2 linked regions of the Diceros bicornis minor genome follow. The protein of the gene in region 1 purifies or fractionates together with the protein of each later gene. This does not show direct contact. Links are inferred from orthologs where the notes say so. Each region holds a gene or a part of one and is shown on either strand. Other genes may lie near its edges. The genes, in order: PER1 and CSNK1D.

The links.
Region 2: the proteins of PER1 (region 1) and CSNK1D purify together in Homo sapiens (affinity purification with mass spectrometry; 4 studies listed by BioGRID and IntAct, counting the BioPlex papers as one, with this or other methods). This does not show direct contact. The link is inferred for Diceros bicornis minor from reciprocal best matches to the Homo sapiens genes PER1 and CSNK1D.

Annotation. Positions count from the first base shown.
Region 1 is NC_080757.1:10,251,294-10,263,243, forward strand, and holds the start of PER1 (period circadian protein homolog 1), read left to right. Parts: upstream 1-7,441; 5' UTR 7,442-7,511; intron 7,512-8,437; exon of another isoform or gene 8,438-11,358; intron 11,359-11,950. Other genes in the region: VAMP2 (vesicle-associated membrane protein 2), read left to right, coding at 2,900-3,238, 3,328-3,379, 3,984-4,000. UniProt on the Homo sapiens protein: Transcriptional repressor which forms a core component of the circadian clock.
Region 2 is NC_080757.1:61,655,889-61,667,325, reverse strand, and holds the start of CSNK1D (casein kinase I), read left to right. Parts: upstream 1-6,939; 5' UTR 6,940-7,227; coding exon 7,228-7,303; intron 7,304-8,139; exon of another isoform or gene 8,140-8,236; intron 8,237-11,437. UniProt on the Homo sapiens protein: Essential serine/threonine-protein kinase that regulates diverse cellular growth and survival processes including Wnt signaling, DNA repair and circadian rhythms. It can phosphorylate a large number of proteins.

The sequences.
Region 1 (11,950 bases):
CAGATTTGGGTGGGGTGGGGCTATCTCTGTTTGTACCCCCTTCCAACCTTCCCTGTCTTAGACACTGCAGCTTTTGAACTTAAAAGCCTGGAATTTGGCATCTTGGTTCTCTGGCTAGAAAGTAGCATAGTCTCAGGGCCAAAAAGCAAGAGCTAGTACCCCATAGCACAATCTGAGGCCCTCACGGACCACGCTTTTTTCTTCCTTTTCACAGAGACTGAGCCACCTGACATTCTGTGTCAGTGCACATGGACGAGGGAAGTGGCTGCTCCTAGGAGGAGGAGGGAGCTAAGAGCACCTTATCTTAGATCTGCTGAGTCCCCACACCCCACACATACTCTCTGCTCACTCACCTCCCCCAGACAGCTGGGAAGTGACACCTCTGGTGACAGCGCCCGTCCCCAGGCTTCTGCTGGGAGGAGGTGGGGTGCTGCCTGGGGGAGGTTATCACACCCAGAGGCCCTGGGAAGCCTGGGTGGAGGAGGGAAGAAGCTGGCTCCTGTTTGTCTCAGAGACCAAGGCCACGAGCCTCCCCTCCTCCCCTTCCAGGGATGCAGTGAGCACCCCCACTAGGCCTCCTCTAGACGCCTCCTTCTCCACTCGTGAGGCTTGCCTTGACCCACCCCACCGGATAGGCAGCTCACCTGGTCCCATTTTCTCCTCCCCTCCGTGCCAGGTCGGCTGAGAATGAGCGAGGGGGGTGTGTGCAGCTGCTGGGTCTGTTTCAAGGACCTAAAGAGAGACCAGTCAGGGCTGGAAAGGGCCATGGATAATCTCCTCCTACCATGTTCCAGATCAAGCCATTTAGCAAATATATATTTAGTGCCTACATATGTAATATATTTTGGGTCCAGAGACAAGACAGGAACTGTCCAAGGTCACACATATGAGGCTAATATGTGTGTAAAGTAGTACCATGTAACCTGGGCACTGCAGATGTCCCCTTGCCTACTGTCCTCGTTCTCCCTAAAGGGAAAAAAAATGCCCTGTCCTTTCCGCCCAGGCCCTGCATCTGGGATCAAAAACTGAGCCCTCCTCCTGCCGCGGGGGTAGGTGACCCAGCCCTGGGCCAGAGCTGTTTTGGCCAGTCTGCAGCCACCACGTGAAGCAGTCCCACGGGGCAGCCTCGTGCCCTCCTCCCCCTCCTCCCTGGGGTCCTAAACTTGCCCAGCCTCAGTGGGTCCTGGCCTGCAGTACCCCTGGTCTGAACTCCAGTTGTGAGGAGGGACAGCTTTCACATCTTTCACACACTGCAGTGACTTGGTTGGGGCGAGGCTGGGGGCGGAGGCGGGGGGTAGCCTGCCTCATCTCCTTTTCTTCATACCCCCCTCCTCGGCAGCCAGGGGCCCTAGACCTCCCTTGAGACCTCCGCCTGCAGGGTGATGGGTTGGGGACCTACTCCCACCACTCCATTCCACCTCGACAGCAGGGTCCCAGCTATCCACATTGCCCCGCGGACCTGATTTCCCATCCCCGTTCCAAGTGCTGAAGGCGGGTCACCAGGCACTGGGACCTGGGTGCAGGCCGAGACCTTGGGCGGTGTGGGGTGGGGACTGATGAGGGAGGACGTGGTTTGGGGGTGGGGGGCCGTAGGGGCAGAGGCGCGGGGGTGGCTGTGAGGTCTTTGGTCAGCCAGGGCGGGTTGGCGGCGGATGTGGGGAAGCCGCGGCAGTCAGCCTTGGGGCTCGCGGGGCGGGGACAGGTGCGGGGGACACCGCAGCTCCATGCACGCAGCCCCGCCGGGCGCGACCCCCTCCCCGCAGCGCCCCGCCCCGCCCCCGCGGCCCGGCTCCAGACGAGTCGCCGCCGCGCCCCGCCCCCGCCCGCAGTGCCCGGATGTGGGTGACGTGCGGCCGCCATCTTCCCGTCCCCGGCAGCCAGCGCCAGTCGGAGCCAGCGCGAGCCGCCGCCGCCGCCGCCATCGCTGCAGCTGCCAAGTCCTCCGCCCGCTGCCGCCGCCATGTGAGTCGGCCGCCCGCGCCCACACCGGGCTTGCCTGCGCCGGCCGCCCCCGTGGGTGCGGGCCCGGGGAGTGCCCGGGTTCGGCCCGCGCCCCCTGCGCTGCCCGCGCCCCGAGGCCAGGCCGGCGCCCGTGACTGCGCGCGGGCAGCCGGAGAGCCCCGCGTCCCGGGCTGGCCGCGCGGGCGGTGGTCGCAGGAGGGAGCGGACCCGGCGGCCGTCCGCCTCTGTCATCGCTGCCGCTAGTCATTTCGGGTCGACCCCCGACCGTGTCTGTGAGGTCGCTCTCATTTGACAAGCGGGGAAACTGAGGCCCGGAGTGGGGAGGAGGCCTCACTCAAGGTCACGCAGCTTGTCGGCGGCAGAGCCCGACGGAGTCCAGGGCGCCCATCGGGTGGCCTTCCTCCTGGGAAGGAGGAAGGGAGGGACGGTTGGATGGACAGATGGATGGACAGGCGGATGGGCGGAGCCCTGGCTACGGGGTTAGAGGCTCTAGGCCCTGGGTCTTAATGGGTTCCTGCCCCTCAGGTCGGCCACCGCTGCCACCGCCCCCCCTGCCGCCCCAGCTGGGGAGGGAGGCCCCCCTGCACCACCTCCAAACCTCACCAGTAACAGGAGACTGCAGCAGACCCAGGCTCAGGTGGATGAGGTGAGTATGGGGGGTGTCAAAGGCAGTGGGAAGGACCCTGAGGGCTGGCAAACCGGCGTGGGACCCATCTTGGGTCGAGGGTGATGGCAGTTCACGTTTATTGGTTTTGGGACAAAGACATACCATGCCCCATCCCTGTCAGCATGCACTTAGAAAGGCCCTGGGGTTAGTCAGCCTTGCTAGCCTGGGGTGTTTCAGCCTGAGCAAGTGTGCTCTGGTGATGGGCAGGCTGCTGGAGGCTTGATAAGTAGAGGGTGCTGCTATGACATTTTGAGATGTCTGGCTACCAGCATGCCCCTGATGTATGCCCCTTGCATGTCCCGAGGTGTGCTAGGCATGTTCTGTGTGTGTCCTTGGCATGTTAGCCTGGCAACATCGGGGTGCATGTTCCATATGTGGGCACACGGTCAAGAAGTGCCCTCGTTGAAGTGGGCCTTGGCACACCCTCTGCCTTGTGGGCCCCTCCCCCAGGTGGTGGACATCATGAGGGTGAACGTGGACAAGGTCCTGGAGCGGGACCAGAAGCTGTCAGAGCTGGACGATCGTGCAGACGCACTTCAGGCGGGGGCCTCCCAGTTTGAAACAAGTGCAGCCAAGCTCAAGCGCAAATACTGGTGGAAAAACCTCAAGGTAGGGGTGCAGGCAGGCGAGAGGGCAGATAGGACTGGTGGGTGAAGGGGGGTATCATGGTCTGTCTCACTCTCTCTTCTCGCCCCCAGATGATGATCATCTTGGGAGTGATTTGCGCCATCATCCTCATCATCATTATCGGTGAGTAGGGTGGGAGTGGCTAGGTCCCTTTCTCTGGAGAGGCTTCCCCCTGCAAATTCTGGGTTTTGAAGATCATTAACCTACTTTTTTACTATTCAGCAAAAAGCATATATAGCTGCCACGGCAGTTATGATTCACCTAGAGCCCAAAACCTTGATGTTGTTTAGCTTGTGCTTTGCCTGGTTCTGGGCAATTTCTGTTAAGATTTCTGGAAACAGGAAAGCAGGTGGATCCTCACTGTTCCCTTGAGGACCCTTTGGGCCTGAAAGCCCAGTCTGGGAACCCTGGAACTGGAGGGTGGGAGAGCAGGAAAGGCTTGAGTCATGGCTAGGAAGCCAACCACCTTGAGACCTTGTGGTCTCAGAGGCCCAGAGGATTAGGGGTCTGTGGCCCCAAGGCCATACCATGGAGTTGAAGAGACCTTGGAACTCACTTGTCCAGCCCCCTTGCTTTACAGATGGTGAACCTGAGACTGAGAGGGGAAGGGATGTCAGCCAGCTGGGAAGTGGGGAGGATGGGAGCAGGGCCAGGCCTGACACACTGCTTTCTCTCTCTCTCTCTTTCTCCCCTCTCCCTCTTCTTCCTTCTCTTTCCCTCTCTACAGTTTACTTCAGCTCTTAAACCCCTGAGGAGCCTGCCCTGCCCAGAGAAGGGCCTCTCCCCTCCATCCCCAGCCGCTCCTCCACCTCTCAGCCATATCTTCCAACCCCCCCTCCCCTGGATCCGTGTGTGTGTGTCCGTGTGTGTGCCCCCCCTGTAAATAGCCAGCTGTTATTTATACATATATAATATTATATATATTTGGTCTGTTTGTAGTTTTATTACTAGAAGATTTTTCCGGTTGTCCTTAACACCCCTTCCTGAAGTTCCCATCACCTCCTTTCTCTTTCCCTCCTTCCCTTTCCCTCTCTTCCTAACCAGCCCCAAGTCCCTTCATTTGCATCTGCTATGCAATAGTCCCTCTTCCTCTCCTCCTTCCCTTGGATTTAGCTGATCCTTCCTTCCACCCTGGCCTTCCCCGTACCCCCAGTCCCCTACAAAAAAAAAGCAAAAAGCAACTGTCCAGGCCTCCTTAGGTGCATCTTCTTTGCATCATTGGGAGGCTCTGAGGCTGGCCCCACTTGGTCCTAAGAATCCCAAGGTCTTCTGGGAGCTTGCAGCATGTTAATTAGCAATCATTTGCATACTGACATCCCTTTTGGTTTCCTCCTTTTTTTTTCCATCACTTTTCATTCTTTCAACCCGTGTTTCTTTTTTACTGAGGAGTTAGTCCCCATTTGTCCTTGTATCACACTTTCATTTGCATGATGTTACTTGCAGGTGGTGGGGAGCCTGGGCTTTTGGGGAGCCAGGCTGTTCTGGCCCCCAGAATTGCCCCCTCCTAGCCCCCCTAGTCCAGTTTGCCTCCCCTACTCCCATTTTCCAAACCTCTTGTCCCCTCCTCTCCCTCCCCCCAGCTGGTGTGTAAAATGTCTTGGAGTTCAGTGTGTTATGATGGACCATTAATTCTGCCACTTGGAGTCTCTCCCCACATTCCTGCTCCCCCATTTTCATGTGGGGTGCCCAACTGACATTCCCATGGGATCTCCCTCCCTCCCATCTGCCTGATCTGCCTCCTCCCCCTTCCACCAGGAGAGTTGGGGGTTGGCCACAATGTGATTTCTTTTGGGAGAGGTGGCTACCAGTGTGTGGGCGGTCATCACTGCCTTGGGGAGGAGTAGGGCAGGACAGAGAATCCCCCCAATTCCTGCCTGAAATCTCCTCTGGCCCCACCCCTGCTGGGGCTTGGACTAAAAACCCTCCTCCCCAATTTGGGGAGTGTTGCCCCCATCACTGCCCAGCTCCTCTGACTGCCCCCTTGAATTCAGGGTGGGGTACTAGTTACTGCCAATGTGTACATGGACTTGCTGGAAGATGGGGATTCTCACCCTTCTCTAGGGCGGTGAAACCCAAAGCTAGAGCTGTCCTCCTTAGGTGAAGTGATAGAGGAAGGGTCTAATATCTTTTTAAATGGCACAATTTTAGGGGTCTGAGAGTGCAGTCCCTTAACCTGCCACTGGAGGGGACCCACCCCCAACTCTTCCCCCCACACTCAAAGTTTCTGGGTGGAGGGGGAGCAGGGAGATCTAAGCTGTGGTATGAAAGGGTAGGGAGAGATGCTGGGGGTGGGGGTGCTGTGTTCTAGACCCCCCCATATTATCCCAGTGTCCCCTGCCCCCCCACCCCATGCCCCCAATTCTGTGGCACATCCAGATTGTGAAAATGTACAATAAATGTGTAATGAGTAACCAGGTGGTGTCTGTTCTAAGATCTTAACCAGTGGGAAGGGTATTGGATCTGCAGGTATAACAGGAAGGTTGAGAAGACACATTGGGAAGGGACTGAGCTTTGCCGGAGGGCCTGACCTTGGGTAGGGCAAAGTGTGATTCCCAGAGTGGCCACGGTGGGGCACCAGGAGTTGATAACAGGAAGTGTTCCTGATCCCTGCGTCTCACCTGAACCCTGAGGTCTGGGCTTCCCAACTCCCCCGCCCCTTTTCTTGCTTGGGAGGCATGCTTCTGCTGTTTGTTGAATTCCTTTCTACATTTTGATTTAACTCCCAGATGCTCAGCAGTCGCTCCCATGGTCATTTACTCCTGGGGCTGAAATAGATGGCTAACTTGTGCAAAACATTGCTTCCCTTTGGTGCCTAGCACAGTGCCAGCATCCAGAAGGCATTAATAAGTACTTAGTGAATGAATCAGTTCAAGAAGACCCAGCTGAGTGTGGTGTGGAGCTGGCCATGGATGGCCTGCTACCCCTGCACTCTGTGTTGTCCAACTGGTGACTCTAGACCGTCTGAACTCCCTTAGTCTCCATGATGCCCCTGATGTGGCACCTTAGCATTCCTGTCCCCAGGTGCTTCAGCAATATGTGGAGAGAGCCAGGTGAGCTGTGGAGGGCTGATTTCTGGCTGCAACATGAAGATTCAGCAGTATAAGAGACTTAGTGTTTCTCAAACTTGTGGGCTCTTAAGAACTACCAGGGATGCTTTCTAAAATAGATTGTCTAAGGGACCCAGGTGATTCTTATAATTAGGTACATAGTTATTATAATGTCTCACCGTTCATTGAGGGCTTATTATATTGCAGACAGTGCTCAGGGCTTTTTCACACTTCAAATACTGAATTGTTTCCAGGTTTAGGGTTCCCCTAGATCCTAGGACCCATCTTCTTTATAGTGTCAGGGACCTGGGTTCAAATCTTGACCCCATTACTGACTAGTGTTAATCCAGACAGATCATGTTACCTCTCTGGAGCTCAGTCTCATTTGTGAGTGAGCCGGTAGTAAGTGAGCTGGCCTCTGGGTTTGTAAGAAGCGCCTGGCCTGGTCCACAGAAATCAATCAAGAGACAGCTATCATCGTCGTCATCATCACGAGGCACTGACATATGGAGACCGCTTCACCCTAAGGTTCGAACCTTCCAGCTTCGAGGAACCTCGGGGACCCAGGGCCGGAGTCCTAGCGTGGGGAGCGCTCTTGTCACGGCCGAGACTGCTCGCCCAATCTCGGCACAAAGCGCCCCCACCAACGCCACCGCCGCTCATGTCTGCGCCTGCGTGCAGGTTACACATGCGCCTGCGCAGACTCTGCTGTCGGGTGACAATGTCGTCAAGGAAAATCCCCAGCTTCTAGGTAAACAAGTTGCCGCGTGAGACTGCCGGCACGTGTCCTCTACAGCTCCGGCACATCTCAGCCTATGAGAAAGTTTGGGGGCTGGACTGGAATTTGCGTCACCGATCTAGGCAGGTCGGGGAATTTTGCCACAGCCAATAGGAACTTCGGAAGTGGATGGGAGCGTGGCTTTCTGTCAGACTTCCAATCAACGCGCAGGGGCGGCCCCTCCCGCACGTGGAGCTGTCACTGCCGGTTGGCAAGCTGACCAATGAGAAAATGACGGCGGGCGGTGGTTGCCGAAGGTGCCGGTGCGGGGGCCGGGCGGCCGCACGCGGCGCGGGGCATGGGTCGGCGCCCTTAGGCCAATAAGCTTGAGGGGCGTGGCAGCCCGGCCGGTGGGTGGGCTCGGAGGAGCGAGTCCCGGTAGCTCTGGTCCTGGTTGCGAAGATATTGGACTCTGCGTGCGCGCCGAGCGGTGAGTGCTCGGGGTTGGGGGGAGACGAGCGGCGGTCGGTATGGGTGTTTCCCGGTTGGTGTGTTCTGTCAGGAGGGGTATTAATGGAGGGAGTGCCGGGGGGATCGTGCGAATGCGTGTTCGCCGCGATGAGAGCTCTGATGGTTGTGGGGAATAGGGACCGAGAACTCAGCTCTAGAGGGACGTGGGCGGGAGTCACTGATATCAGATCCCTCACCGCCCTAGGGCACCTGGACCCCTGACTGCCTGGGAGGAGGGGCTCGGAAGCCCTCAGCGACCTGAGGACCTGAGACCCCTGTTCCCTGGAGGTCCCAGGACGGAACCCCTGAGAGCTGGTGGGGAACGTTCCAGTGCGTGGCTGCTGTTTGAGTGGGTGCCTTAAGCACTTGAAAAGAGGCAGGAGTTCTGAGGCTGGAAGGAGGCCCTGGTAGGGCAGGTGGGAGAGTATCGAAGGGCTGACATGGTGATTTGAGAAAGGGTGGTGAGATGATTTGTATGACCCTGAGCCAGTCACATCATGGCTCTGGATGTCTTTCTCGTGTGTAAAGGGGAGAGGTTGGGCCTCAGAGCCATCCTTGGGTGTAAAGGTGGGGTAGAAACTGTTGAGTCCTGAGAGGGAGGATGGGGTTGTGCAGATTGGCTATGCACATGTCTTCCTGAGACCCTGAAGGTGAGGAGGCACCAACAGGGTGCTCTGGTATCTGTCTGTACAAACAACCAGGTCTGTGGTAAAGTGACCTGGGGTAAGGTGGAAGAGTGAGGACGTGGGGTCCCTAGGAAACCACTGGGGTGGTGGCTGCTAGGGTGATCTCAAGGACTTTGTGAGCATGTGAAGACTGGGGCTATGATGATTCAAAGTGTGTGGAGAATGCAAACTGAATGTCTGAGATTCAGCCCAAAGGAAAGGAGGGGTTGGATCGAAGCACCAAACTTAGTGCTGGGTATTTGATAGGCCCAGGTTCCCCAGTGCTATTTAACACCTCATAGGTTCCTGAGGGTAAGAAGCCAGAATGATAAGCCATTATCAGATGGCTCAGATTTGAACCCTGGGCCTCATTTGTTAAGAGCCTGAGAATATATTATGAGGCAATTTAGGCAAGTTTAGTAACTTCTGAGCCTTAGTTGGTCCTTGTGGAGTGGTGATAATAATACCCATCTTACAGGGTTGTTCTGGGAATTAAATAAGATAATGTATGTAAAGTGCTTAGCGAAATGCCTGGGTCCTGTTTTTAAATTTTTTTTAGCTAAAAAATAATGGCTTTAGGATGACAAAAGAACAGTGACAGGGTGAGAGATTTATGTGAATGCTGTGGTTGGGAACTATTCTCACATTCTCAAGTTTTTCTGGAAGTTTTGGTGTCTCCCTCCCCATTTCCCTCTTCCTGGTACTTCTTGTCTTCAGGCAGCAGCCCCAAATCGTCATTCCACTCTTGTATCCCTCTCCCAGGATCCAAGCCCCGGGCTGGGCCACTTGCTCTGTTCCGGTTCGATTTCCTCATCCTAGACCCATTCTGCTTCCCGCCCCTCCTCCGTGTCTCTGCTGCCATAATAACAAGAGATTCAGGCTCTGAAGGGGGCCTCTGGAAGGAGCAAAGGTGGTGTTCTCTCGCAGAACCTGGGCCTCCAACTTCCCCGCCCTGGCTCTTTGGGACTGAGCCAGCAGATGTGTACAGTTTGGGAGAGAAGGAAAGCCAGTGCCGGAAGCTGTAGAAACAAGCCCAGGGGAAGGCGGATGCGAGTCCTGAGAAGAGAGCCAGGCGTGGGGGCGGGCGCGGGGGACCCCTTCCTCCTAATCCTCTTTCCAGGAATCCCTGGCTTTGGGACAGGACGGCTGTCGTTGGTTTGGGGGAGGCGCCCAGGCTGGGTGCATGTCCTGGGCCACCAGCCAAGAGAACATGATGTTCCCAAGTGCGCTGGCCGCCGCCCTCTCGGGCTGGCCGCCTCCCAAACCGCTGCCTCTCCAGCCTCCCTGCTCCACATTCCCCGACTGCCTCGCCCCGCCCCCTTCCTCCACTTGGACGTCACTGCTATCTCCCGCCCCCCTCCTCCATTGACGGCAGCAGGGCCTGGTTACTGTGGGGACCGTGAGGCAGGACAACCAGGGCCTTGAGAGCAAGCGGGGGCTGCTGGAGCGCTGGACCCTTTTGTCCATGCAAAAGATAAAGGAGGGGGAGGCGGGAGAGCAAGGACTGCCTGTGTCAGGGGAGATCACACCTAAATCCATGACGCGAGTTGGGGAGGAAGAGAAACGATGTTTCCGGAGAAGAGGTGTCTGAAAATGAGGCAAGGGAGTGGGCCACAGTATATGAATTGGGGGGACATTTTCAAGGAGAGAAGGCTGAGAATCTAGGCTCCTGAATCCTTTGTTTCCTGTTTTCTTGCTTTGGTTTTTCTGGGTTATTTTGTAACATCCCTGTGTCCCAGCTTTTCCACAGTGCTCTCCTCTGCCCCCCACCCCCATGGGGAACACCGTTGTTAAGGAAAGCTTAGGCCACGTGACAGTGAGGGGCGTGCACCCACAGCTGACTTTGTCAGCAGCAGTTTGGGGGCCTCTGCACTTGCCACCCACGTTTCCAGGGAGCCCTGAGAGGAACTACTCACCATAGTCTTGGATGGAGCTGGAGCTCTCCCGGGCCCAGCCTGGCACTTTATTCCCCCAAATTAGGACTCAGTGTTCTGCTCCCCACCTCTTTTAAAAAATTATAATTTCCAGTCCCTTCTCCATTGCTGAGGCTGCTTCCCCTCCCCTACCTAGCTTTGTTAACAATAAAATCACGGAGTTTATTGATCACCTACCATGTGTCAGGTTCTGTCCTGGGGCCTGAGGAATACAGTGAAGGAGACAGATGAGGTTCTTGGCTTTCTCTTTTCCTAGAGGTGGGGATCTGAAGCCCTCGCCATCCCACCTTTCTCTGTCTAGAGTCCCATTTGGTCTCTTCTCTCAGCCACCCCCTTTGTTCCCCTGTAGCCCTGGCTTCCTGGCCCCTACTTTTGGGACAGCCCTAACTGTGGGTGGCTGCATCCTCAGGAGAGAAGAAGCACTAGTCACCACGTAGGCTGCCCAGAGACCTTTTCTCTGATTGGCCACAGAAGCACCTGCCATGGTTTCCCTTCACAGACCCTATTGGCTCTAGTTGCCCCTTCTATTGTTTGCATCCTCCCCCGCCAACTCCACCCCCCATCACACGTGGACCCTCAATTGCGCTCCTCCTAGCGGTCCACAGGATTTGAAGTGTCAGAGGAAGGGGTTGGGTAAAACGGCTTTATTATGATGACAAGGCTGGGGAGGAGCACCCAGGAAAGGCCAAGCCGGGTTTATGTCTGTCCCCCTCCTCCCAGGGACCAGCCATCTCATCCACCCTGGCTCACCTCCCAGGGTCTGCATTCCTTTTCCCCATCCCTGGCAAGGCCAAGGTGTCCTGTTCTGCAAGGCTGGTCAGTTCAGGAAGTAGACATGTCAGGCACCTACTGTGGCCCAGGCATTTTCCCCAAAGAGAGGCAGCTTACCTCCTCCTCCCTCCCTCCCATTATTCACTGTGCAAGGCGTCCTGCGCCCATTGGCTGGGCAGTGGGTGTCTGCGGCCCTTCAGCCCAGCGCCAGCACCCAGATCCACGTGCGCCCGTGTGTGTGACACAGCCCCGACCTCAGTGGGGGCCAGTAGCCAATCAGGCGCCGGAACGAGAGCCCCAGCCAATCGGGGGCGGGGCCTGTGGCTCCGCCGGCTGGAGGCCAATGAAGGGCAGTGCCTGGCATTATGCAACCCGCCTCCTGGCCCCGCGGAGCTTCCACTCGGCTGCGGGCTGCAACGGCGGCGGGCAGGCGGCCGAAGGGCGCTCGCGCGGCCAGGTAGGCATCTCCGCGGCCACCCGGGGGCCGGTCTCTGGTCCCGAGCCGGACCGCCGCCACTTCCAGCCTAATGGGCCGCTTTCGGCCCAGGCGCTCGGACGGCACACCAGTAAAATCCGCCTTCCTTGTCCCTGTCCATCCCCTCTCGGCCCCCGGGGACCTAGGTGTTTCTCGCAACCCTTCACCGAGTGTCCGCACTCTTGACCCGCTTACCTTACCTCCAGTTTTGCCCTCCGTTCCCAGCTGTCGCGACCCCACACCCGACCCTCAGCAGGCATGACCCCTACACCTTTCTTGTCACTTGGGGGTCCCATGTTTTGCCCCAGCACCAGGACCCCTTTAGGCTTTCCGCGCTCCCCGAGCTCCCCCCTCCAGTCCCTGGCCCCGCGCCGGCCGTGATGTCAGCCTGGTTCGGGCTGGAACATCCCGTTCCCGGCCCTAGTTCCTGCTGTTGGCCACAGCCTTCCCTTTTCTCCTGGCGCTCCGAAAATGCTCGGAGTGTTGGGGGTGTGGTTGGACGGGGAGTAGGGGAAGAACAATCCGCTGGCTGTTGTGCGGCCCTTGCTCAGAGCTGAGTGGGTCTGCTTCGCAT
Region 2 (11,437 bases), about 51 Mb from region 1:
GCTCATCACCGCTCCCCTCGTCCCTTTGCCTCCCTGTCCTAAGATCTGGGTTCTGTCTCATTCTTGTTTACCAGGAGGCCTCTCTAGGCCCATCCTGGCTGGGCTCAGGGTGTCCACTCTGAGACCTCTCTTTGTCCTGGCATACAGGTGGTGTCCGTGCTGGGCACGTGAGTCCTGGGAGCTGCCTTGACTGTCCGGAGATGCTTTCTCGCAGCCTCTGCAGGCTTCTAGTCACACAAGAAGCCCAATGCCAGTCTGACTCTTTCCTTTGTCAGCAACTTCTTTCTGAGTGAAGATTTGAAAATCTCTTCTTTACCTGTGGAATTTAGGTGGTTTACCAGCACGGTCCTGGGCCTGGCCTGCTCTTTGCGTCTTGCCTGGAGCTCGGCGGGCCTCTCACACCTGCAGCCCTGGATCTTTCTTCAGCTCCAGGAGATGTTCTATGATCTGTCCAATGATCCCAGCCTCACTTGCCCACCTGTTGCTTTTGCCCCTCCTGGGACTCCTATTCCCGATGAGGTCTAAGCCTCTTGTCTTTCTCCTTGTGCTCTGCATCTTCTCCCATCTTCCCTCTGATATAAGGTGTTCCTTCCACCTGGACATCGAGGCTACTCATTGATCTCATTGATGACTGTCCTTTCCTTCAATTCACCAGCTGACATTTTTCTAGCTCAGACGCCAGGGATCTCAGCTGCAGGGAGTCCTCTCTGCACTGTGTGTGTCCCTGTCCCCTTCGGTTTTCTGTGTGGGAGGTGCTGTTCACTATTTCTCCTCTGGCAGCTCTTCCTCTCTGACTCCTGGGCTAACTGTCGCCCCCTTTCTTTGTCAGTTTGTTGGTTCTGGGTCTTGTGGTGGAGGAGCCAGAGTGTCTGTGGTCCCCCTGGGGAGGACGACAAAGCCATCATCCTGCCCTCAGGCTAGCGGCTGCCCTGGGTGCCCAAGCCAGCACCTTCCCAGCAAGCGCCCCTGTCGTCTCCACATGTGGCCCACTGTCTTGACATGAGTACAGCCATGTTTGGCCGCTCTATTGACCTACAGCCACCAGCACAAAAAGAAATATAAAAGCTGCTTTCTGTGTGGTGGAAACTGGCCTTTTCCCGGGAACTGGCCTTTCTCCCACGGAGGGAGTTGCAAGTTGTAACAGTTCAAGGCTCTTGGAGCGTCGTAGCACGGGATGGACCGTGCCAGGCTAAGACGATAACCAAGGAGAACAATGCACGTACACAACTACTGGGCTGGGACGTTAGCCAGGGGGCTCAGGGCACGTACGCCACTGATAACTGTTTTGTGCATGGGAACACTAGATGCTTGCTCTGTAAACTCTGTAACTGCTTATATAAACTGCTAGAAGCTGAGACCTGGTGAGAGTTCCACCTGTGGAAGGGACGCCTTGCCCAGGATGTGTGATCCTTGCCCAGCCGTGTCGATTGACAGGACTCTCCCGGCAGTGGGGCGCGGATGTTGTGAGTAATTGATTTACTGTGAAGTAACTGATTTGATGTGTTCTCTTTTCGGTCAACCTGGTGTTTCTCTTTCCGGTTGATTTGTGTCATTTCCCTTCAGTCGATCTGGTGTTTCCCTTTCCGATCGATCTGATGTTTTTCCCTCTTATTATATGACCTATTCGGGGCTGGCCCCGTGGCTTAGCAGTTAAGTGCGCGCACTCCGCCGCTGGCGGCCTGGGTTCGGATCCTGGGCGCGCACCGACGCACCGCTTCTCTGGCCATGCTGAGGCCGCGTCCCACATACAGCAACTAGAAGGATGTGCAGCTATGACATACAACTGTCTACTGGGGCTTTGGGGGGAAAAATAAATAAATAAAATTAAATTAAAAAAAAATTATATGACCTATTCGGATCTGCTGCTATCTCAGCCGATGTGGATGTTTTCCCTTTCCAGTCGAGCTGGTGTTTTTTCCCTCTTATTATTTGACCTATTCGGATCTGTTTGCGGACTATCGCCTTTATTATCCTCTATATAATAAAATATACCTTCAGTCCATTTGTTTGGAGTGGAAAGTGTCTTTTACATCTCCCATCGAATCCCCGAACCTCTCATAACACCCACGCACAAGTCTAGGTTACAGAGTCAAGATACAAACAAACAACAAGAACCAGGCAGCCAGCACAGTACCGTTGCAGCTGTCTGGAGCTCTTGCACCCCAGGTGTGGAAAGCAAGAAAGATTCGAGGCATCAGAGTCATGCGGGCTGCCAAGGGGCAGGGCAGGAGAGAGCCGGTGCTCACGGGAAGGGAGGGCAACCTTCCAGGAGGAAGGATCCCAAGTTACCTCCTGCCAAACCTTTTAGGATAGAGAGTTGTCTATACTAGGCTCTCCACTCCCTCTTCCCTCCCCCTTTTTTTTTTGGTCCGTGGATTTTTTAAAAATTGTGGTAAAATATGCACAACATACAATTTACCATTTTAACCATTAAGTGTACAGTTCAGTGGCATTAACCACATTCACATTGTTGTGCAGCCATCACCACTATCCATCTCCAGAACTCTTTCATCTTCCCAAACTGACACTCTGTCTGCCTTAAACAACAACTCCCCCATCTCCCTCTCCCTCCCCCTGGTAACTTCTACTTGACCTTCTGTCTCTGTGAATGTAACTCCTCTAGGTTCCTCATATAAGTGGAATCATACAGGATTTGTCCTTTAGTGTCTGGCTTCTTTCGCTTAGCATAATGTCCTCAAGGTTCAACCATATTTAGCATGTATCAGAATTTCCTTCCCTTTTTAAGACTGAATAATATTCTATTGTGTGTGCAGACCACATTTTGTTTATCCATTCACCTGTCCAGGGACACTTGGGTTGTTTCCAGCTTCTGGCTATCTCATTTTCTCTCAAACTTCTCTTTTTGCTGTCTTTTGTTAAAATCATGCGGAATATTTCAAATTGCAGCTGCCTGGAAAATCTAGAAATTTTAACAGGACAGCCTCTCTGGGCCTCAGTTTCTGCATCTCACAATGATAATATGGAAAGGAACAACACAGGTCAGCATTCCTACGGTTTGTTGATGCCCAGCAGGAGCAGAATGAGGAGACTTGCGTGGAAGCCAGGTGAGGAGGGCAGCAGCGGGGGTGACCTTCTCTCCATGGTCTGAGCCTGGGCACAAATCCCCTCTTCAGTGACTCTGGGCTGCCAGAGTCCAGAGTCTGGCTCTGGCCAAGGGGAAGTGAAGCAAAAGGTAGTCATGATTTGTGCAAATGACCCTGTCCCCTCCCTGCCCCACCCCCACCCGCCCCCATTAATTGGCTCCAAGGTGCCAGCCTTGGGCTTGCCAGTGACCTGTGACCTGGGGCAGAAAAAAACTGGCCAACCAGGACCAGCCAGTTACTTTCTCTCACAAAGCTGAATGGAGGCACGGTAGGGAGCTCAAGGGGCAGAAACTACTAGAAGCCAAGGCATGTCAGTCAAGAGGAGGAAGAATTGAGCCAAGCAGCTGGGAGGTGCAGGGCCACCATGAGAGACAGCAGCGAGGACCCCAGAGTAGCTCTCATCCCATGTCTAATCCCAGGTCAGGTGTCCTTCCAAGACACACACACACACACACACACACACACACACACACACACACGCCTCTTGTTTCTGGAGACTAGAGTGTGTATCTGCCCCCCGCCCCTAAAGGGTCTGACGAGAACCCTTGGCGTGAGGCCAGGATGGGAGAAGGGAGATGTGTGCTCTCAGGGTACAGGAAAACATGAACTTCTGCAGCTGATGCCAGCCTTGGCTGGACCTCGGAGAGCAGTGCGACACACCAGTGAATGAGAGCACAGCCCTCCATTCATTCACTGGGCGTGGGGGGCATAGCTGTACGGTAGAGGCTTCCTTTGGGGGGGCGATTAAAATGTAAACCTGTGGCGATGGTTGCACACCTCTATGAATATACTAAAAACCATTGAATTGTAGTCTAAACAGGTGGATTGTGTGGTATGTGAACTGTATCTCGGTAAAGCTGCTCACACATGCGCACAGACACACACAGGGCAAGCATGGAAAATCCTCCACACCCCAGGACAGGCCGTTCTCAGTCTGCTTCCCTGGGCTCCGCTTCCACGGAGGACAGAGGACAGACTGGGAGTCCACTCCCCTCCCACACCTCCTCGCCTGCCCAGGAGGTCACAGGGAATTTGGGTTATAAGGAAGGGGACAAAGTATTTGGAAGTGCTTTAAGACCAGGTGCCGGGGCAGCCCTGGTGGCGCAGCAGTTAAGAGCGTGCGCTCCGCTTCGGTGGGCCGGGGTTCGCAGGTTCGGATCCTGGGGGATCACTGACGCACCGTGTGTCAAGCCATGCTGTGCCAGCGTGCCATATAAAGTAGAGGAAGATGGGCACGGATGTTAGCCCAGGGCCAGTCTTCCTCAGCAAAAAAAGGAGGAGTGGCAATGGATGTTAGCTCAGGGCTAATCTTCCTCACAAAAACAAAACAAAACAAAACGAAAAAAACCCCAGAGGCCGCCTGGAGTGGGAATGGCCTGCAGACACACAGGACCCGGGCAGAAGCTCAGCAGGGACATGTGTGGGTCTGCACGGGCAGACCAGGGAGTCCAAAGGCCAGGAGAGGGACGGGCCCAAAAGACCTCCAGCCCCCACCCCCAGCCTTTTGGGTGAGACTTTCCTCCTACTGCAGTTTTGGATTGAAACAAGAAGACCCCAGGCAGGGCAGAGGGGCCCCCTGCTTAGTCAGGAACACACCTGGGGAATCTTGGGCGTGAGTGAGTTTTGAGGGCATGGCACAGGCCAGTGACCTTGCCGGCAGCATGAGGCTGGGAGCGGTCAATGAAATCCAGCTGGGGGCCAGGTCCAGGGAGGCCACCCCAACAGTGAAGGCGGGGTTTCCACCTCGCAGTTCTGTTTGGGGATGGCCTAGCCTAGGAGCTGGGAGTTCATCCACGTGAGTCATTCATGAAGCCAGCATTTACTGAGTGCCTGCTATGTCCCAGGCCGTTCCCAACAAGAACAGGGGCATGTGCGAAAGCCTCCTGCACCTGCCGGCCTTCTCCTGTGTAACTCCTGGTCCTCAGGCAACGCTCCAATGGACAGTCTGGGGCACTGACTTCCGTCCTTCTCAAGGTCACACAGTGAATGGCAGAGTAGGATGAGAGAGCAGCCGTGAGCACAGAGAGGATTCCCATCTGGAAGAGTGTAGAGGCCGGAAGTGGGGAACCAGCTGTCCTAGCACAGCCTCTGCAAGCCCTGGCCCCGCAAGCGTGCTTCACAAATGGGAAACTGAGGCACACACAAGGATACTGTAGCCACTGGGGCAGGCTACCTGCAGCAAAGTGCTGGGATAACAGGGCCTGGAACCCTGGCACAGGCCCCTGGTGAGGCCCCTCAAAGATGGTGGCTCTGCCCCTGCGCAGGCCTCTTCTGGCTGCTTTCCATCACAGCCGTGGACTGAAACACAGGCAAGGACTTTGGTCCTGCTGTTGGCCGGCTGTCCTGACCAACTCCGAGAACAAACAGGTGAAGCAGGTAGAACCACAGGGCCTACGGGGCAGCCCAAACAGCTACAGCTTCTTTTTTGAGAGGACACCAAGGCCCAGGAGGGGACCACTGGCCAGCGATCAGCCCAGGGCAGCTGAGCGAGTGGCCTGTCCAGTATTTCCAGGGAGCAGGGGCCAGGCCCCCTTCTGTTTCCAGTTTGCACTCGTGGCTTTCTCTGGCCGGGGAACTGGGCATTGTTCATCAGCAAATTCTGCCAAAAAGGCTCTTTTCACTGGTTTGGCAAAATCCCCCCAACCTCATAAGACTGAGAAACTAGGCTGACCACTGCACGTGGACATGGGGTGTTCCCAGTTGCCCACCACTCACTAGCGACTGATCCTGGCTTGCCTTGTGGCCTCTCTTTCTGTCTCCAGGCACTCCTTGCAATGCTCAGGAGTCTCCCCAACCTGAGCTCCAACGATTTTCCGGCATGGGCTGCACTACCGAGACTGAATGGAGGAGAGGGAGGACTCCGGAGTGGAGAGACCAGCCTGCCAAGCGCCATGGGAGGGCACTCACTCTGCTGTATTAACAGCCGGTTTTATGGTGCTTCCTTTTTAGCCGGGGTGGGGGATAGGCCTAGAGAAGCATTGACATGAAAGTCATTCCTTCTTGGTTTCCGTGCCTCTCTGGAGGACTCCCTTCCCAGTGACTGGAATCAACAGTCCAGATCATGAAGCTGGCGGTCAGCCGGAACATCAACATTCTTGTTTTATTTTGCAAGGAAGAATATTCAGACTCAACACAGGTTAGATAAAAACGTTGATTCAGTCTCCAGACCGATGGGACTGGAGAGGCAGGCAGTCTGGCCTCATCCTTTGAAACCCTGGTAGCTTCCCCTTCACCCTTCAGGTGTGACAGCTGGCTGAGCTGCAAGCCCGGGACTTGGCACAGCAGGATGGGAAGGGAACTGCACAGTAGACGTCCCCGGCCAGCCCCCGACCACCTCAAGAGGCGTGCACACCTGTGTCCGCTGTGGCCCGACCTGTGTCTCTGTCTCCAGACGCTGGGCCAGGAAGGGCGGCCTCCTCCTGGAGAGTCTCAAGGGCGCGGGTCCCCGGGGTCTAGAGGGACGGGCTCGGCCCCTCTCGTTCTCCTGCAAAAAGCACTGCCTGGCGGCCTGTCCCAGGCCTGTTGCTAAGAGCCACTGGCTTCCTCCTGCGGGGTCAAACGAGTTCCCCGCGTGAGCACGTGGAGCCTGCATGCGGGAGGGGGTCGGGCGGGGGGCTCTCGGCACGGTGCTGCGGTGCGGGAACAGGCGACAAACAGAGAAGGGAGCCGCCTGGGGTGTCCAAGGGCCGCGGAAACTCCGGGGCGCCCTCGCCCCCCTGCCCCGCCCCGCCCCTCGCGCAGCGCGGCCCCTCCCCCCGAGCTGCGCGGCCCCGCCCCTCCAGGTTGCTAGGGGAAGTGACGTCACAGCGCGATGGCGGCGGCTCCTTTAGGCTGCTGAAGGGGGAGTTAGGCCCGGGAGATCCGAGTCCATCCGCGGCGGGGAGAGGGCAAGGGGGGTCGCAGGGGCCTGGAGCAGGGGCGGCGGCGCTCGGACTGTTCTCTCCGCCCCGTATTGAGGCGCTGGGAGCGACGGGGCGGCCGGAAAGCGATGGTGAAAGCGGGGCCGTGAGGGGGGCGGAGCCGGCAGCCAGACCCGCAGTAGCGGCAGCTGCGGCGCCGCCTCCCCGCGCTTAGACCCAGGAAGCGGCCGGGAGAGTAGGAGCGAGCCGGGGCCGCCGCCGCCATGGAGCTCAGGGTCGGGAACAGGTACCGGTTGGGCCGCAAGATCGGCAGCGGCTCCTTCGGAGACATCTATCTCGGTGAGGCACTTCCCCCGGGCCTGGCCGAACCGAATCGGGTCCCCTCCGCCCGCGCCCCGGGGACCCCCGGCCGGCCCCGAGGCACTGGCCCCAGCGCGCCGGGCCCGGGGGTGGCGGTGTCCCCGCAGACCGACGAAGGCCGTCGGGCGTCGCGTGGCCCCGCGTCCTGGCACGTGCGGGCAGGTGGGCGCGGGGAGCCCCGGCTGGGCCCTGTGCAGCCGCGCGCTCGGGCCGGACCGTGGGCTCCGGACGGTAGGACGGGCGCGGGGTCGGCCGTGTCAGTGGTGAGTGGTGGCTAGGGACGTGTTGGGCATCCGTGCTCTGTCTTGGGCACCTGCGCCCGGACAGCCCTGAGAGTCAGGTGCGGTGACGGAGTCGTGTGAGGATGCTGGCGGAATTAGAGGCAAGGGAGGTAGGAAGCCCTGCTCGTGAGCCTGCCCTTTTGGCTTTGAAAATTCTCAAGGTAGAGTTGAAAAACACATTTGGGATTAGAATGTTCTGGATTGTTTCGGATTTACAGTGGAAGAATACGCGCACACACGTGTGTAATAAAAGGTTGGCTGGAATCTTAAAGTTGGGAATGTTAAAACAACTTTTCTGCATTTCTCAGAGGAATTATGTGTAAGTTACTGCACACCCCCTGGATTTGGGAACGTCCAACCTGGCACACGGTGTGTGTTCAGAAAGACTGAAAGACTGTCGTTGCGCAAGTTTGGGGTCAGCGTGTTGTGTTGTTGCGCAGCCACGCCCTGTTGTTTCTGTTTGGACGGTGTACCTGTCCGGGAGGGTCAGGAATAGCTTCCTGTGTCGGTAATGCCTCTGGTTATGCCTTTCAGACGATCCCAAGTGTGTGTGCCCACCGCCCTATCCTTCCTTCTTGGCCGGAGAAGACGCAGGACTTCGGGGGCTGTTAAGAGGAGTCGACGTGTTTGGGTAGTTCATAACTGCCTCTGGTGCCTAGATACCCTGACACCGTTACTGCCATATTGATGCCTTTGAACCTATACTTCTGCCTTACTGTCCTGCTGAGTAAAATACACTTTGGAAGCATTTGGAATTTAGTATTTAAATATTTATGTCCAGTAGTCAGCCAGCTGCATTCTCAGCAGCGTTTTGGGAGGCAAAGTGCTAGGTAAATGCAAGCTGTTTGCCTTATTTATAGAATAATAGGTTTTGGCAAAAGCTTTAACCTAGGAGCTGTACTGAAAGGCCATTCCATGAGCCACTCTTATGCAAGCATCAAAAAGTAGATGTGAAACTTTCTGTCCTTGCCAGACAGCTCTGTGCTTTCTAAAGCTGGGTTCAGACAATCAAATTGTGAAACGGTTGTCACCGAGTCATTCACAAAGGTGTAAGCTCTTCTCATCGGGACTGGGAGCTTTGTGGGGGACCCTGTCTGCTTATTCACTACTGCATCCTTTGGACCTCACCTGGTGCTGGGCACACGGGTAGCACTGGATACATATCAGGCTGACTGGTCCCAGAGGAGTCTGTCCTCAGTCTCCTGCTTCATGTGTGTTCTAAGATGGGTGGACTGTGGTTCTTGAGCCCTTGTTCTGAGTACCCACACAGCTCACGCATCAGGGTAAACTTAGAGTTACTTGTGTGGGATTGGGCACAACCCATTTTTTTCAATCAGTGTTGGCTCTTGGCCCACATGGCAGCCCTTTCAGGCTACGCACGACCCCACTGAGAAAATGTGAAATGATCTTGTTAGCTTGAGTAAGATGTGGCTAGAAAGGTGGGTCTGAGGAAGCTCACCACATACTGTCGTTAAAGATCAAAGATGACTGGTCCAAAGATGATGGGATGGATTGAGTCACCTGTACCATAGCTTTTTCTATTTGTTTAGGCAACTAATCAGGCATTAGTTAAGGAACTGAGTCCTGATCTTGAAAATTGGTATGTCTTAGGTATTTTGTGTGATTACAATTAAAATCATTCCTGCTACCATCCTTTTGCTACTGGTCAGAAGGCTCTTGACTCCTCCAGGTAGGGTCACCTTGTTTTGAGCCTGGTGTTTGGGGTCTTGGATTTCTGCCTGGAAGTTTCTGTGCTTTCACACGTTTGAAACTGGGAGTAGGGAAGGCTGTTCTTCAGCTTGCCAAGCGCCTTGTGGACCAAGAAGGCCCAGTATTGGTCTGTCTTTCTGGTGGCCTACTGTGCTGACGTGGTCACGTGGCACTGTGCCCTGCCAGTTATTCCAGTCCTTCCCAAAATTGCCCCTTCAAAGGGGGGCAGGATCTTGGGGCTATTTTCTCCAGTGCCCAGGCTTCAGAAAGTCTGTGGACTGGACTTGAGCCAGGTAGACCCCAAAACGTGCAGCCTCGATCCTCAGTCTGCCTCCCTCTCAGCTTGCCAGATCCAGAGAAGGCTGCTGGGAAGGCCTCAGAGCTCACACACCCTGGGCAGCACACAATTGGGCAGAATGTCACTGCACTTGGTATTGCAGGTGGTATAAGGTGAACCCCGCCCGGCCGTTTGCCTCCCTCAGCTTTAGCTTCCACGGGGTTGTGCCCCCTCGCTGCTGGAGGTGGTGTGTTTTTGAGGCAGTGGAAACCAGAAGTCCTTTTACTTTGCTGGCAGTATATCTCTGATATATGTGAAAACAAAGGGAGAGCCAGTGTTCTTAATGTGGACCATGTGTTCCAAACTCCAGTATGGCCCTTGGAGCTGAGGGGAGAAGAGTGTGTGCGGGTGGCCAGCTGGAGCCCAGGCTGTGTGGTGGTGCTGGCCGGCGCAGTTGCTGTTCTGTTCAGCCAGTGTTTGGGGAGTGCTTGCGAGGCGCCAAGTGCCGGAGGGGTGGCATGAGCCCCCTGTTCTCATGGAGCTCTGTTCTCGTCCATGTTTGTCTTCTAGAGACAGGCAGCAGGGTCCTCAGACCCCCCTCCCATTCTTGATTCACGGAACAGAGGTTTTCTTTCTGTCAGCTGTTGGCATTTGTGTTTGATCCTCTTGCTCCGTCAGTTTATCACAGTGTGACCTGATCCATCCACCTGTTACCTGGACGGATTTCATGATGTACACAAAGACCTTTTGGAAGCTAAAGCTTAGTTACCTCTTCATATTTGATTTTCGTATTTTCCCCTTGCTGACTTTCATTTTTTGTCAGCGGCACCTAGCAAGGTGCCTGGCATGCAGTAGGAATTCCAAAATGGTGGCTGGCTGGCTGGCCAGGAGAGGAGCCTGTCCTCGCTGCGTGTGTTCTTAGGGTGGTGGCTTGAGCGTTTTTAGTGAGAAGTCATGGTACTGTGTCAGCTGCCTTGTCAACAGCTGCCCTGTGAGAGGGACCTTTGCCTTCTTGTTCTGAGGCCTCTCCCTATTTCTTCATCGATAAGACAGTCCTCAGTGGGAGTTACCTTCCTGTCCCAGGTCAGGGGCAAACTCGGGATGAGGTTCTCTTAATTGACCATCTGCCTTTGTCTGCTCAACTTGAGGGATGTAATTTTGTTTTCCTAGGACCAGCATGGACCTATGTCTGAACATAGATGAACATCTTGCCTAGTGTGGGGACCTTATCTGACTGGGGCTGTTAAGCTGCACAGAAGAGTTGAGGTTGTTGGGAGGTAAAACCCCTCAGTATAGACAGACACTGTGAGTGAACATGTACATGCCACTTGATTTTGACTTGTTCTGAATCTGGAGCTCAGTGGTATCTTCTAAATTCTTGTTCCTCATCTAGAAGTTCGTATTTCTAAAAGCTGCCTGTGCTGAAGGACCAGATTTTGTAATATCCAGTCTGTTGCAGACCAGTGCTTTTGTAAAATAAGATTAAAATGTTGCAGCATGTCACATTGCTATCAGAGCTCCTCGGTGCTTCCTCACTGTCCTGTATTTGTCTCTTCATCGACTGGTGGCAGTTTGAGGCCTAGACTTGGAGCAGCACCACCAGTGGAGCAGGGGGGCCGTGGTCAGCCTGGAGCAGGGGCAAGGCTGCAGGGCTGCGGGCTCATGGACCTCAGTTTTGCTTGGTGGCCTCTGAAGTTTGGTTCCCATGGAATGCACAGAACTTGAAGCTCTGCTGCTTGGTACTTTTTTTTTTTTTTTTTTGGAAGATTGGCCCTGAGCTAACATCCATTGCCAATCTTCCTCTTTTTTTCCGTTTTTTTCTCTGCAAAGCCCCAGTTCATAGTT